2 linked regions of the Drosophila melanogaster genome follow. The protein of the gene in region 2 interacts with the protein of the main gene of each other region in a biochemical or structural test. Each region holds a gene or a part of one and is shown on either strand. Other genes may lie near its edges.

Evidence for each region.
Region 1: the proteins of CaBP1 (region 2) and drpr form a complex in vitro, tested with the Drosophila melanogaster proteins (one study listed by BioGRID).

The regions. Positions count from the first base shown.
Region 1 is NT_037436.4:1,726,671-1,734,109, forward strand, and holds the start of drpr (draper), read right to left. Parts: upstream 4,438-7,439; 5' UTR 3,855-4,437; intron 1-3,854. Other genes in the region: Oseg4 (outer segment 4), read right to left, coding at 4,658-4,850, 4,919-6,619, 6,675-6,973, 7,036-7,139, 7,191-7,439. UniProt on the Drosophila melanogaster protein: Receptor which is involved in the phagocytosis of a variety of cells including apoptotic cells, severed and pruned axons, degenerating dendrites, salivary gland cells, germline cells and bacteria.
Region 2 is NT_033779.5:16,353,618-16,360,272, forward strand, and holds CaBP1 (calcium-binding protein 1), read right to left. Parts: upstream 3,119-6,655; 5' UTR 2,936-3,118; coding exon 2,923-2,935; intron 2,854-2,922; coding exon 1,565-2,853; 3' UTR 1,269-1,564; downstream 1-1,268. UniProt on the Drosophila melanogaster protein: Binds to both apoptotic cells and phagocytes and promotes Drpr-dependent phagocytosis of apoptotic cells.

The sequences.
Region 1 (7,439 bases), on a different chromosome or scaffold from region 2:
CGGCAGGTGCTCCCTTAACTCATCAGAAAGTGGTGTTTGTCAAGGCCGTCATTAGCAAGAAATCGCGTGATGAACTGCCAACGGCGCCAAATAAATTTTAAACGAGAAATTGTTCGAAACCCAGTGTTAATAGAACGTTCACGTTTTAGAGCAGATCGTGAATGTGTTCGCCCTCTTAGATACATATTACAATCCTTAAGATAGCCGAAACGATAATATACAACTGGGGCAATATAACCTAAAGTAGAAAGAGATAACCATTTGGCATACCCCTCGACTTTGCTCAAGATTTTACAAGTGATAAGGGTGGATGATAAGACCGCCGCAGTCATTCTCATCCATTACAACAGCGATGAGGTTCACTGATATTTGTTCTGTTGTAGGTGACTAATTCAGTCTCTCTATATATAAGCAGATCCACGGAACGGAAGGTGCGTAATCCGGTCATGGACAAAGACTAATAGAATAATACCAAATCATCCCGTAACATCATACAAATTTACGATGGACAACGAAATCGTGTGAACCAAACAATCCGGTCTAATTTAATTTGCAATTTGAATGCTAAATCTTTCATTTTAACGATTAGCAGAGTCCACGTTTTTCAAACAAAGTATAAACCTTTGGAATCAAAAATATTAACCATAAACTAGGGTGTTACTCTAACCCATTGCCATTAAGTTTCATTTTGCCACTCAATCTTCCCTTCCGCATATGTAGATCATATTAAAATGCGAACTTGCACGAGACAACGAGCTTACATTTGCAATTTACTTATTTGTTTACATGCCTGATTGGTGTTTTAATGAGCTAAATGAATATGTCGTGGATGAGTCACCTTAGGTTAAACAATGCTAGACTATAGTCTATAAACTATACGGATCTGTTAGTTGTATGTATAATAGGCGAGTGTGCGAGATTTTTCAATGGAAAACGTGTTCGGCACAGTTTGTTTTATCGAGTATCGAATCCATGCACCATTCATCGATACCGCATACCCAGCATCTGTTCCAATGCTGAGTCACTCGGATTTCATTCACAAAAGTCTGGCTAAGGCTCGAACTTCGGGTCAATCTACCGCTCAATTCGCAGGTTTGTATTTCAGACCTTTCCCAATATGTGTGTACTTTTGGCACACCTCATATTTATCATACCTCGCCCTTATCTGCGCCCAGTATTGGACAAGCAGAAACAACACGATGAGGCACACTGATAGTGGTTCTTAATCGGAAGGGGTCAACGAAAAGTTGAGGGAGAACCATAAAATGTTAGCAAAGGTAATAGAAGATTGATTAGAAGTAAGTTGCGAGTCCGTTTCCGCTGGCAATCTGTCTATAATGTATACATATGTAGGTACTTATATATGACTAATTTCCTGATTTTCGATGAAAGCTTTCGAAAGAAAAAAACAAAACAAAAACAAACCAAAGAAAATCTGCGAAATACTTTCGGACTAAGGAGAAAGCTTTGTTGTTAAAAAAACTCAATGGCATTCGTCTATTTCATTCAATTAGAATGATATGTATTTTATAAAGTATAAGCATTGCCTATTTTCGTTCCAATTAAACCTCCATCAGAGCTAAGAGTAGGTCTTATATTCTTCAAGTTGTGTGTATATATTTTGTGATGTATTTTCAATTGATTCAGCACAGTGCATATGTAAACATCTGGATTTGACTTGGATTACTATAATCTTAAGCATAGGGGGAAAATGAGCCAGCTATTCCCCCAACTTCAAGTACTGCGCACTTGATAAAGGCTAAACAAAGATTGTCGCTTCCCGCTTTATATAAACAGAATTATTCTACAAAGGAGGAGCCCTCACTTGAGCTGTACTTTGGATAGCGAAATCAAAGTCGAGTTTACTGAATCCACAATACACATCTCCAATAACCGCAACGCATATGTTTGGCGTTCAGTGGGCAATTTAACGCCTTGGCGAGGCGACAAAGCACATTTGGCAAAAACGATTATTAAGAATAATAAACGATTTCAATGGCAAGAAATAGATTTGGTATAAAAACAAGTTGTTCTGGCCCAGGAAATGAAATTATTGAAAGAATATCAGTTTGCACGAGGTCTAGGGTCTTACATTTGTGAACTACGTAAATGCTAGGCCAATCAAAACTTTCAGTGAACAGTTTAATTAAAGCAAAGAGGCAAAGGGTTCTCAAACGTTATTATTTTGGGATGGATGTTAGCTGCCATTATGAAGTATCAGTGAGAAACAGTGATTTCAGCTGTTTCGTATTCATTTCACAAGTGAGCCAAACACTCAACACCTCAGTTTGTATTGGCCAATTAGCGGGCGAAGCTCGGATTTCTAGCCCGAATTTGGATAGAGCTAGAAGCTTTCTCGATTGATTCAGCGAAGAGAACCGATTTCAGCTGAAAACCAAGAAAACATGTGTATATTATTCTAGTGGAAAGGCACCCACACATTGCAATGCAGACAGACGAACAAGAATTAAGCATAATCATCAGCAAAAGCGAAATGCACTTGCAACAATACGGAGAAAGCAAAGAAAAATGTTGGATAATGCAAACCCAAAGCGAAAAGATAGAGAACAGAGAATGTCGTAATCATAAGGGGAAAACTAACATCCCGACTCATGGGTTGCTCTCTAACCACCGCCACATTGGACAAGAAATCCCAGGAGGTTTCATCCCAGCCACTCCCTGCCACTCCTCCACCCAGCATTATCAATAAAGCTGAGTAATCATGGCGACGACAAAGCCCGGCTCCATAAAGGAACCTAAACAGACATTGTGACATGTACGGCATGGTATGATATGATATGATACCGAGGGTGGGGAGAGTGCACCTCTGAGTGCCATTTCAGTTTTTAATTTTGCAATGGCTTGTGGGACTTTTCGCTGTGCATTGCATTTCGAAGCTCGTGTCCTAAGCAGGCGTCATTGTTCATTAAATCACGTATGATAATAAAAATCAAGTTCCATTGCCAGTGTCAGAAATATAAGGTTAAGCTTAAAATCGCTTGGTTAAGGAAACTGTGTGAAAAATAAAAATGCTTTGTATGGGAAATATGATCGCAGTTTATTCCATACTTATTTAATGAATTCTATAAAAAATAAGAACGGTTTCTACATATATCTTAATTTGTGTGCACCCCCATATTCAGAAGTAATATGAAATATCGCTGAACTGATACCTTAATCAGTACTCATAAAGAATTAAACGCAAAAAAATTTTTTGCGACTTGATCTAAATTATAAACGGCTATTATTGTTATTTATTTTCGTGACGATGCATCGACTGTATTTTAATGTGTGCGTTAGTTAGGCAATTTCGATGTGTGTGAGTTTATGCTGGCTGGGTTTTCATTTGATCCGTTGGCGTTGTTGTTGTTGCGGCTGTGACAGCTGGAAGCTTCAGCAGCAATCTGGAAACTGGAAAGAATCCACAAGATGCGGGTTTCCAGGGAGCGAGGTGCTGGTCGCAGGGGGTCGATGAAAGAGAAGTTTGCCGATTTGCTGCCAATTCCCCGAATGACAGATATAAAGATACATGCATGAGATACAAAGAAGAAGAAGTCGACGAAAGCGCAAAACTAAAGCCAAAGAAAGGCCATTAAATTGTGCGAAAGAGAAACCAGAACAGGTTTAACTGTTCTTGGTGTGCGCCCGATAAAAGCGCTAATTGACACGCACACAAGTGCACTACTGCGGTCATAAACAAACCGCTCGTTGGGAAAGAAGAAAGGTGGAAGGGAAAGAGAGCTGACAAAGCTAACCAGGCGAAATTGCACATTTAACAGAAGAAAACTTATTTTTAACAACATAACAATGACTAAAATTAACGTTAAACTGCCACGATTGGGGTTAAAACTCACCTTGGCAAGAAGCACGGTGTAAACTGGTTTTCGGTTCTCACTCAAAACAAACCAAGAATGCACTCGCAATCGAATTCCACTCAATTTACACGTTTACGAAACTTTGGCCATTAAAACCTCGAGAGGATTTGTATTTTTAAATGCTTACAGCACCTTACCACATATATATATAGCTATATATATAAATTTGCTATTGTTTTTACTTTCTCACCATCCACAAAAACTTGTTTTCGTTGTCGCTACTCTCTATTTTGGCACTCTACTCGCAACTGAGCTGATTTAGCAATTAAAATGCAACCTCTTTAAATAAAAACAATTACTTTTCGTGCACTCCACTAACGACAACAATAAGGACAAACGGGCGCGACGCACAACAACGCAATTCTTTAATGCACTTAAGTATTTTCGTCGGTCAATTGGAGCTCGTTTGGTTTTCGCAAGCACCGCAATTACTATTTACTTTATTTTATATTTGCGTACGCACACCACCGCACGAAGCAGAAATTTATTTAACTTATTTAAAATTCAGCAAGAAACGGACAACCGACTTACTTAGCTGCACTCGCCAGTGTGACCGCTTTGCGAGTGTTGGATGAGCTAGTAGTGTGGCCCTAGCGCACTCCCCAGGAAATACTCACTGTGAACAGTCACTCTTTCCACTTATAACACTTTTCACTTGAAAATAAATTTGAATTCTATCTTAAAACTACATTGTTTATTTGCGGAGTAGATACGCCTGTACCACCTGGGATAAGCAGAATGAAAAACAGCTGGAGTAATTAAAACACTAGTCCCCGCTCATTTCAGATCTCCACCGTCATGGACACGATCAAACTGTGGCACAGTGGGCAAGTTCGGTGCCTGGAGATCTCGGTGGGAGCTGCGCAGTGGTGGCAGGTGGTACAGATCCATATGTTGTTCGTCGGCTGGGTGATGGGTTTCCCGGAGGAGATGCACGCCGGGAAGCGAGCATTGCACTCGGGGCAGGAGGGGGAGCTGAAAGGATCGGCATTCCATGAGTATCATCATTATAATCCAGCTTCTGACGTCGACCCTTCACTTACCTATCTGGCACGGGCACTCCGCAGGAATAGCAATCCACCCTATCGCCAGTGGTGTCCTCCGGATCGTACTTGGCGAAGATCCCAGCCGCCAACTCCTCGTACCGTTGAAGGGTAGCCTCGGGAAGATGAGCCTGTTGCTCCAACTTCATGAAAGCCTTGGAGCAGGTTCCGAAGGCCCGATCCGCACAGCTGGCCAGTGCCAACAGGCTGTAGATGTGCTCTGGAGGCAGGACGTCCTCGTAGTCGCGCAGCCTCACCGCAGTGACCACCGCACTGTGGACGATCCCGAAGCGAAGCTGCCTCTGGGCTAGGAGCATGAAGTGGTAGGCCTCGGCGCAGTGCCAAAGCCTCTCGATGGCGGCCGCATCCTCCAGGGCAATGGAGTCCAGTAGGGTGTTCCTGCCGCTGGCGTAGTCGATCTCCGTCGTGGCCACAGCCTTGAGGTGCTCCTCGGCCAGCAGAGCAGCCAGCACGTACAGCTTCTTGATTCTCAGCAGCGGAGCACGCTTCTCTTGCTCCCGTTCCGCCATTTGAGAAAGCAGGCGAGCTGCATCTAGATGACGCCCAGCATTCCGCTGCATCTCGATGGCTTCCTTGAGGCGTCCCTCCTGGAGCAACTGTGCCGCGTGCTTGGCTATGAGCGTTTGCACCTGGGGCAGCTGGAACCTCTGGGCCAGCTCAACAGCCTCGCCCCACTGCCGGAGATTAACGCAGGTGGCGACGGCGGCCTTCTGGTCGCCGAATCGAAGATGGGCTTGAACAGCCTCGGAGCACATGCCCACGGAGGCCAGCATCTCGGCCAGCTTCGGAAGCAGCGGGCTCTTCTCCGGTAGCCGTTCCACGCACTTTTCCAAGTCGTCGAACTGCTCCAAGTGGTACAGAGCCTCCATGTAACCCTCCAGGTAGTGGGACTTCTCGTAGTATTCCCTGGCACTCTCCCAGGAGCGCAGGTTGGCGAAGTGGTGGCCAATCTCCCGCCAAGCGATCTCCATCTGCTGGTCCGACACTCCCGATCCTCCCATTCTGTACAGCTGCACCACGCGAAACCAATCGCAAAGGGTCATGCGCAGCTCTATGGCCAGATCGCGACGATCCGCGTCCAGGTAGAGCTTCTCCGCCTCCTCGAACTCTCCGTAGAAGGCTGATATCTCCGCCCTCTGCAGCTCCTTGGAGTGTATGGTGCGCAGTCTCTTGACCAACTTAATGCCCGGGTAGTGGGCACAACGGACAAAGGCGTTCTCCGCCGTCTCCAGTTCCAGTTTCTTCAACGCAGACTCCGCCAGCAGTCGCCAGAGCCTCGGATGCGGGTTGTCCTCAATGAACTGCTTGGCATCCTCCAGTCCCACGTGCTCCAGTAGATCGTCGGTATCGCGCAGGGACTTTACCCTCAGCTGAATGATATGCGAAAAATTCTGCAGCTCACCCACGCTGATTATGTCGTCCAGCAGGACACTGGTGATCTCCAAGTCCTCGAAGGTGCATATGTAGCCGGAGCAGGACACGGGCTCCTCGGGATCATTGCCCCGGAAGATATACATGCGCGTTTTCTCCATCAGAGCCAGCAGCAGTGGGTTATCCGTGGCCCAGCTCACGGCCCAAACGTCCTTGCGCTCCACCCGACTGAAGTTCAGTTGGGTCTCCCTGTTGTCGTCCAGGTCGAGCAGGGTCATCACGCCCATATGGTCGATAATGGCGGCTCGTCTAAGTAAGGAGTATAAATATTACTAGTATCAAGGGAGTGTGGTGGACTACCCACGTGGAATTGCAGTTGATAGCCATCTTGTAGACCTTGGCGTTCATCAGGTGGCGGTTCCTCAGAGCCACGTTTGCTATGCTGTACTCGTTGATAGCGCCGGATTCCCTGGCGACAAGGAGCAGCTTCTCGGAGAGTGCCAGCGCACAGATGGGATCACTGATTCCCCGCTGCGTGGAGTGACCATCGCCACTGCTACTGCTCAGCATCAGGTCCTTGGCCATTTCCACTCCCGTGGGCGTGTCGTCGATATGGAACCGCTTCTCCTTGCGCGCCTTCACATTGTGCAGGGTGGAGGCACTCTGAAGGGAGATCAATGGGGGTTAGTCAATTGGTAACCAGGTTGATGACTGAAAGTGCCCACCTTGGGTGTGTGGTAGTGCCAAATTAGAATCTCCTCCTGGGACGCTATGGCCACATAGCTCGAGTTGATGCCCACAAAGCAGGGTCTAATATCCGTGTACTTGGCTAAAAATAACTGGGATTAGTCCGAAACATCAACAACGGTGATCTACTCACAATCCACGGTGGTGCCAATTGAATTGCAGAGGAGCAACTGGTAGACCCTATCGTCCGCAGGATTACTTCGGTTCTCCAGGGTGCTCAGCGCAATCTCCTTGATGTTGCTGCTGACACACTCGACGCCCAGGACGCAATGCTCGCTGCTGGACGCCAGGCACAAGGTGGGCTCCACCTCCTTGAGGAAACTCTGATTTGAGACGGTGTTCCAGAAGGTGATCACGCTCATGGGCGACTCCCTGGTTGCAC
Region 2 (6,655 bases):
ACTTAAATGCCAGCCAGAAACGAAAACCCATTAGTATGACTACAGATTTAGGTCCTAAGTTTTAAAAAGAAATATCTCGAATTTTATCTCTATATACCCTTCGCATTACTGGAAAGTAATTACTTTTTTAACATATTCGAAGTTCCGAAATGCTCTGAAAGAATTTTCCCATATTTTGACCGAATTTCGTAACAAAGCAGTACTACACATAGCAATAACCAGTTGAGGAGTTCGCTGGAAAGGGAATTAATCATTCATAATTGTAAATTGGGTTTCCTACGCATCCCCGACTGTTTCTTTATCTGTTGTTTCTCTTAATCCCGGGCTCAACAAGTTTGGCCTGTCCTCTGGCCCTTTTTCCTTGTCCCTCCTGCATCTTTGGCCTTTTTTTATTTCTTTTAATGCAGGTAGTTTTAGCCGTTTACTCACCGCTTTGTTCTCTGTTCATTTTTTTTGTGGGACAGAGCCAAATTGTGGCAATTGAGTCACGTTGCCTGGTTGTTTCTTTCGAAATCCAAGGGAATTTAGCGATCTTTTTTATACCGTCTTCACGCAACCCAATTTGCATTAAGAATCCGAATCGTACTAACAGACGAACTCTTCGTGATGCCTCGAATTTTGCACTACATTTTAAAACGCCGATTCCCGTCCCTTTATATACACAGGTTGTACTTAAATCGAAACCAAGTACTTAATAATTGTACCATGCCAATCATAGTTTAAGCGCCAATCTGCCGCCACGAATACATTTAAGAAATCTTCAGTTTGTGCATTTAGACCAGCATGAGTATCCTTCTATATATTGTGTCAAAAAAAACGTTTTTAGACGTTATATAGCATTAAGTCTATCAAAGTTTATATACAAATCTTTTTGGACATTTTTATGTGAGTTTTACATAAAATAAATGGTTTTACCTCACCCAACGGTAAAATTCTCACACATTTTATTGGAATTTGGGGTGGTAATGAACTAATTCTTCTGTATTCTATATTAAATTCATTGATTTACAATAACTTTATATTTATACAGCGCTACGTTGGAATACATAAAAAACTAATATGTATATCACTTGTTGATTCTTGGATGTGATGGTGCTATTGAGTTTTTGAAGAAAACAAGCATATTTGATGATTCATTTCAAAGAAATAACTGAAGAATGATCTATTCATAAGCCAAACTCATTTCCATAAGGAAGAAAATGTAAACTGAATTTTACGGATATTAAGAATTCTTTTCTTTGTATAAAATTCAACTTATGCATTTTTTTAAACTCGCTAAGCACGAAACGCGCTTTTCCGAACCCGATTAACACTTGCCCAGAATTTACACGTTTTGTTGCACAGTTTATTCATTTTGTGGTACATAGTTTATATGATCGTTGGTTTCGATTCGTTTAGATCTATGTGAGGATTGTAGAAAAACGCTAAAAGATAATTAAGAGTTATTTATATTTAGATACGATGGCTGACTAATGAATATCATTCAGAATGCAAGTGTTTGTTAGTTTAATAAGTGGAAATTTGAGCTTGGGCCGCACAGTCTTGATTTCCGATCCTCACAGCCTTACAGCTCGTCCTTATCCAGATCGATGTCGCTCAGATCGATGTCCTCCTCGGTGGGCAGTTGGCCATCTTTGCCGTCCCAAGGATCCACGGACACAATCGCCGGCTTTTTGGCTCCGCGAACAGGCGCCGTGTGGCCACGTCCGTAGGAGATGTCGCGCAGGAACTCGTTGATGCCGTCCTTGGAGAAGGAGCCCTTGAGCACGGAGAATTTCATCTTCTTGAAGTTGACCACAGCCATGGCCGGATAGCCGAATCCGCCCACTTCGAGCGACTCTTCCAGGGCCAACTGCTGGCCACCTTCTGCCCAGGCCCAGCCCCATTGCTTCTGCTTGAACTTCTCGCCCAGGGTGCGCAATGTGTCGAGGAACTTGTTGCGGCACTTGGCATCGCAGTCGAGAATGTGTGGCAGAACGGACACGACGCACAATGGCTTTCCTTCGCAGGCAGTTTCAAAAGTCGATTCATTGATAATCTCGATGAGTTCGGGTGCTGGCACATTGGCCACATGCTTGTCACTGGCCCAGGATACAATATCCGAGGCAGTGCGTCCGCCATCATACTCCTGGGCATCACTGGCTCGCTTGGAGCCCGCAGGGAAGAACTTAATGGTAGGATACCCACGCACATTGTATTCGGCGGCCTTGCTCTGATGCGCGGTGGCATCCAGGGCGCCCAACTTAACCTTGCCCTTCAATTCTTTGGCGGCCTTGGCCCATTCGGGTGCCAGGTTCTTGCAGTGACCACACCAGGGGGCGAAGAATTCCACCAGCCATATGTCGTCGGAGTTCAGGACCAGTTTGTCAAAGTTGTCCTCGGTGAGTTCGATGACATCATCGCCGGACGAGCTGCCGGAACCGCCGGAAGACGATCCACCGCCGCCGCCCAGGACACCCTGCACCTTCTTCTTGACCTCCGCCAGAGCGGCTTCAGCGATGGCCTTAGCGGTTCGCTGACCATTGTAGTCCGTGGGCGACTTCTTGTTGGCGCCAAAGATCTTGATGGTGGGAAAGCCACGTACACCGAACTGGCCACTCAGCGTGCTGTCCGCATCGGCATTCACGGAGCCCACTTTCACGACTCCCTTCAATGCCTTGGCCAGCTTCTTGTACTCGGGCACCAGGCTCTGACAATGGCCGCACCATGGAGCATAGAACTCCACGACCCAGATGGCGTCGTCTTTCAGCACCTCCCGGTCGAAATTCGAGGGCGTCAGCTCCACAACGCCATCGCTGGGCGAATAGAAGGCACTAACGCTGCCCACGACAAATGCCAGCAACAAAATGCTCGCTGCGGGGGCGTATTGAAAATGTATTATTAACATAATTTGTCTATTTCGTGCATGGGCCGGAAACTTACCCAGTTGCCTCATCTTTCTTTTTTGAGTTTGCGAAACCGCTTACGTGTCTATCTCTTGCGAGTTTATCTCAACAAATTCTTAATCAACGCGTCTTGTCGATAGGCTCTTTTAAACTAAACTATGTGTAGAGATGCGGCTTATATTTTGCTAAAAAAAAAGAGTACACGTCACTGCGAGTGCGGCGTACTCTCGATAGTTCGATAGGCGTTTCAATACTTTGTGACTATCGATGTAGAAGCCGGCAAATGCGGATACTGCTGATAATGTGAAATAAGCCAAATCTTATATACTTTTACAAAAACAAAGGCGTGATTTTATTTGTAATTCTAATTATATATACGTACAAATAACGAAAGGAAAATGGTCCGAGAAGTTTATTGCCACTATCGATATATTTCGGTATTTTAGACTGGTTCTAAAAATCCTTCAGAGCTGCCAGATAAGTTAAAAATGAGCTTATTGACAACACTGTGTGATTTGGCGGCTATTTCAAGGTTGATTTCTTAACACATTCATTAAAACCAATGCAAAAAACTTGCAAATTTCAGTGATGATACTTTTGACGTAGAATGACAAAGTTCTACTTCTACTACCCCAATGTACTGCTTTCTTTATCTCTAAGGTAGATTAAATTATCTATTTATTTCTCTCACTGTAAAAGTTAACTGCATTATTTTTAGTAAGCAACAGGCAACAATATTAAGAATATTGAAAAAACAAAGGTACATATATAAAACAATTTATTGGTTAAATGATTTTATATAATATAACATTTTCTCTCTTTCATTTCAGCCTACTATCCTTAATTGTATTTACCTTGTTAATTCCCCATTTTAATTGTTTCCTTTCCCAACGTTTTGTTTGATTTGTGTTTTCTGGAAGCTTTGGCTTAATTTACTCGCACATTGTTCTGGCTCTCCAGCTTGTTCTCCCACTGCCCTCCCCACCCACCAGCCAACATTCGAATGACCCCTGACCCTCGCCATTTTCGTCTACGTTCGTTGCGTGCGCATATGAGATAAAATATGTGGTCAATTTTACTTAATAGCGACTTAGTAGTAGTGTTGCCAAGATTTATGTGACGTTCATATTGGCACAGAAAGACACAGAGTCAGACAATTTCCTTTTCTGCCATTCAAGGGTTAATTGGAGGGAGCTGTTCAGTCGGGGGGACTGGATTTTCCCTTTATTTTGCGTGTTATTTTTATGATTATTGAATTTTAATGCATATCGAATGCACACATAAAGATTCAATGACACAATGTCATAACTTCTCGGGCGGCTACAAAACCGGTGGGTGTGGCCAACCCTTTTTTCCAAAAGTAAAGTTTATGCCACATTTGGCCTGCACTTTTTGCTTTCAGCATAAAAAGGCGTAATATTTGTATTAACTTCGGTAAAAGAGAGTCTGGCCCCAGATAAACTTACAGCACTGAAAAAAATAATATCTAATAAAACATAAATATTAGACACATAAAAAAGAAACCACCACATTACTTTATTACAATATCTGCGCAATAAGTTTAATATTAAATTTAAAGATGAATCTAGCTTAATATTATTATTTCTAGGTTTATCACTAAGTTAGAATTCGTTTCAGTGCTCGTACTTCGCCACACTGGCTTATCAAACAAACAATTTGAATGCCCAGCGGAGCGATCTTTTTATTGATACGCTACGGTGAGGGTGCGGCATAAATATTAACCCCTTGTTGCCATTGCTCCTGTTGTTGTGTCTGCACTTCTGACTTGCCTGACGCCCTGTCAAAACACCTTTCCCGAAGGATGTGCGTCTGTCAGTGACTTCAATCTTGCAGATGTGGGGCGTTTATGAGTGTGCTCACTTGCAAAAATAACTTTCTTTTTGCTACTTTTATAAAAAAATATATATGTATTAAATAAAAAATAAAAAAATGAAAAATGAGTGTATAAAGCAAAAAAAAAAATTTTTTTTATATATAAGGTATAAAGTATATTATAAAAATGTATATATAACATAAAGAGCAATGAAATATAAATACTAGTGAGCTAAATGGAATTTCTATTAATATGTAGATGTAGCTTGATTTTTAAGGCGCATTTTAGATAAGGAAAATATTTCATATCAGCTTTTTGTTCACATATATGTACATATGTACACACAATATACAGTCTCCTGGCCTTTTTTTCGAGTGTGGTCCTGAACCGTGAGATTCCTTTTTATTTTATCATCGAATGCCATTTTGCAACGTGTCATATTTACACTGCGGATTTGTCCCATTATTCACTTGACAACACCACGAGGATTCCAGTGCCCTTCGACTTCCTTTTTTTTTTTTTTTGGATTCTCAAGTGCCTTGTGCGGATTATTTTAAAGTTGATTCGCTGCCACGCGTTTTCCATTTGCCATTTCCCCAGTCGCTCTCCTTTCCGAGTGCCTTTGTTGTTATTTTTGCAAATTTAGCTTTATCAATTTTTCTATATCATTGAACTGTTTTTTATGGGATTTTCTTCTTCATTCGGCTTTCGGATTCGGTTTCGTAAGGGTAGCCTTCGATTTCTGGTTGATTTCCAGGCCTTGCTGACTTCTTATCGAGTGGAACGCACATACGTCTGTGCATATGTGTGGAGAGTGAAATGATGATATGTGGCTTATTATTGTCAATTTTTATGGGATTTTCATGTGTGAATGCATTCGGGGTGCTACTGAAATATGCCCAAGTGAATGTGTTAAGATAAGAATTGCGTGAAATCCTGATGCGGGGTGGCAAAAATGGATTATAAGATGAACAGGGGTCGTGGAATTAGATGTAAATATATTGGGGTAAATTTGGTTGAAAAACGAGAAGAATTTGAATATTGCATACATTTTTTGAAACAGAAAAGTGACTTTTGCTTGCCTCTGCCAAAACCTTATGTGTAATTAGTTATTAGTTGTAATTAGTTAGTTGTAATTAGTTGCAACGCTCAAAATCTATCCGCATAAAACTATGCCAAAAGTCTTCTTTATGCTGGTAAAGTATGATGACCGAATCAGTATACTCTTTCATATATGTTGTTGTCTGATCATAGAGTGTTCTTTTTCGGTATACACAAGTTGCATGACAATGTAGATATCAATTTGCTTATTGTGCATCTAATGAATATCCGACGACTATATGGATGGCATATTTAAAAATATTAGAAAAGAAATCCGAGTTTATAAGGTAAAACTCAGAAGCTAGCTTCCTTCTTTGTTTTAAATGGCAATGATCGTTGTTTTCCAAATCCCCCTACGTATTTTCAAAATCCTTAAAACTCAACGCCGTATCTCATTTGGTCCCAGCAATGCATCTTGAACAACTAAAATCCCCAACAAACAAAGCACTCTCACCAGCAAATAACTTTCTGCAGAACGTGATCCAACATAATCAATGAATACGGAACACTATCCCTCCTCCAAAACGCAATTCCTCCCGGGGGGAAAAACTATCAAGTGTGTCGCACGGCAAAAAGGGGGAGAGTGTGAAACCTTATAATTTTCTTACGAAATAAACTGCAAATAAAGTGAATTTTATGCAAAATATGTTTAATAAACAAAATCAAGTTGGGCCGAGGGGATAACAAAACAGACAAAACGCGAAGAGAAAAGCAGGAAAAGGAGCCAAAGGACATCGACGACAGTGTGAAGATTTTTAATTGCCTTAGGAAAATGTGTGTGTGTATGAGATGCCAGGCCAAGATAATAAGATTGTAAACTATGAAACGATGGGCA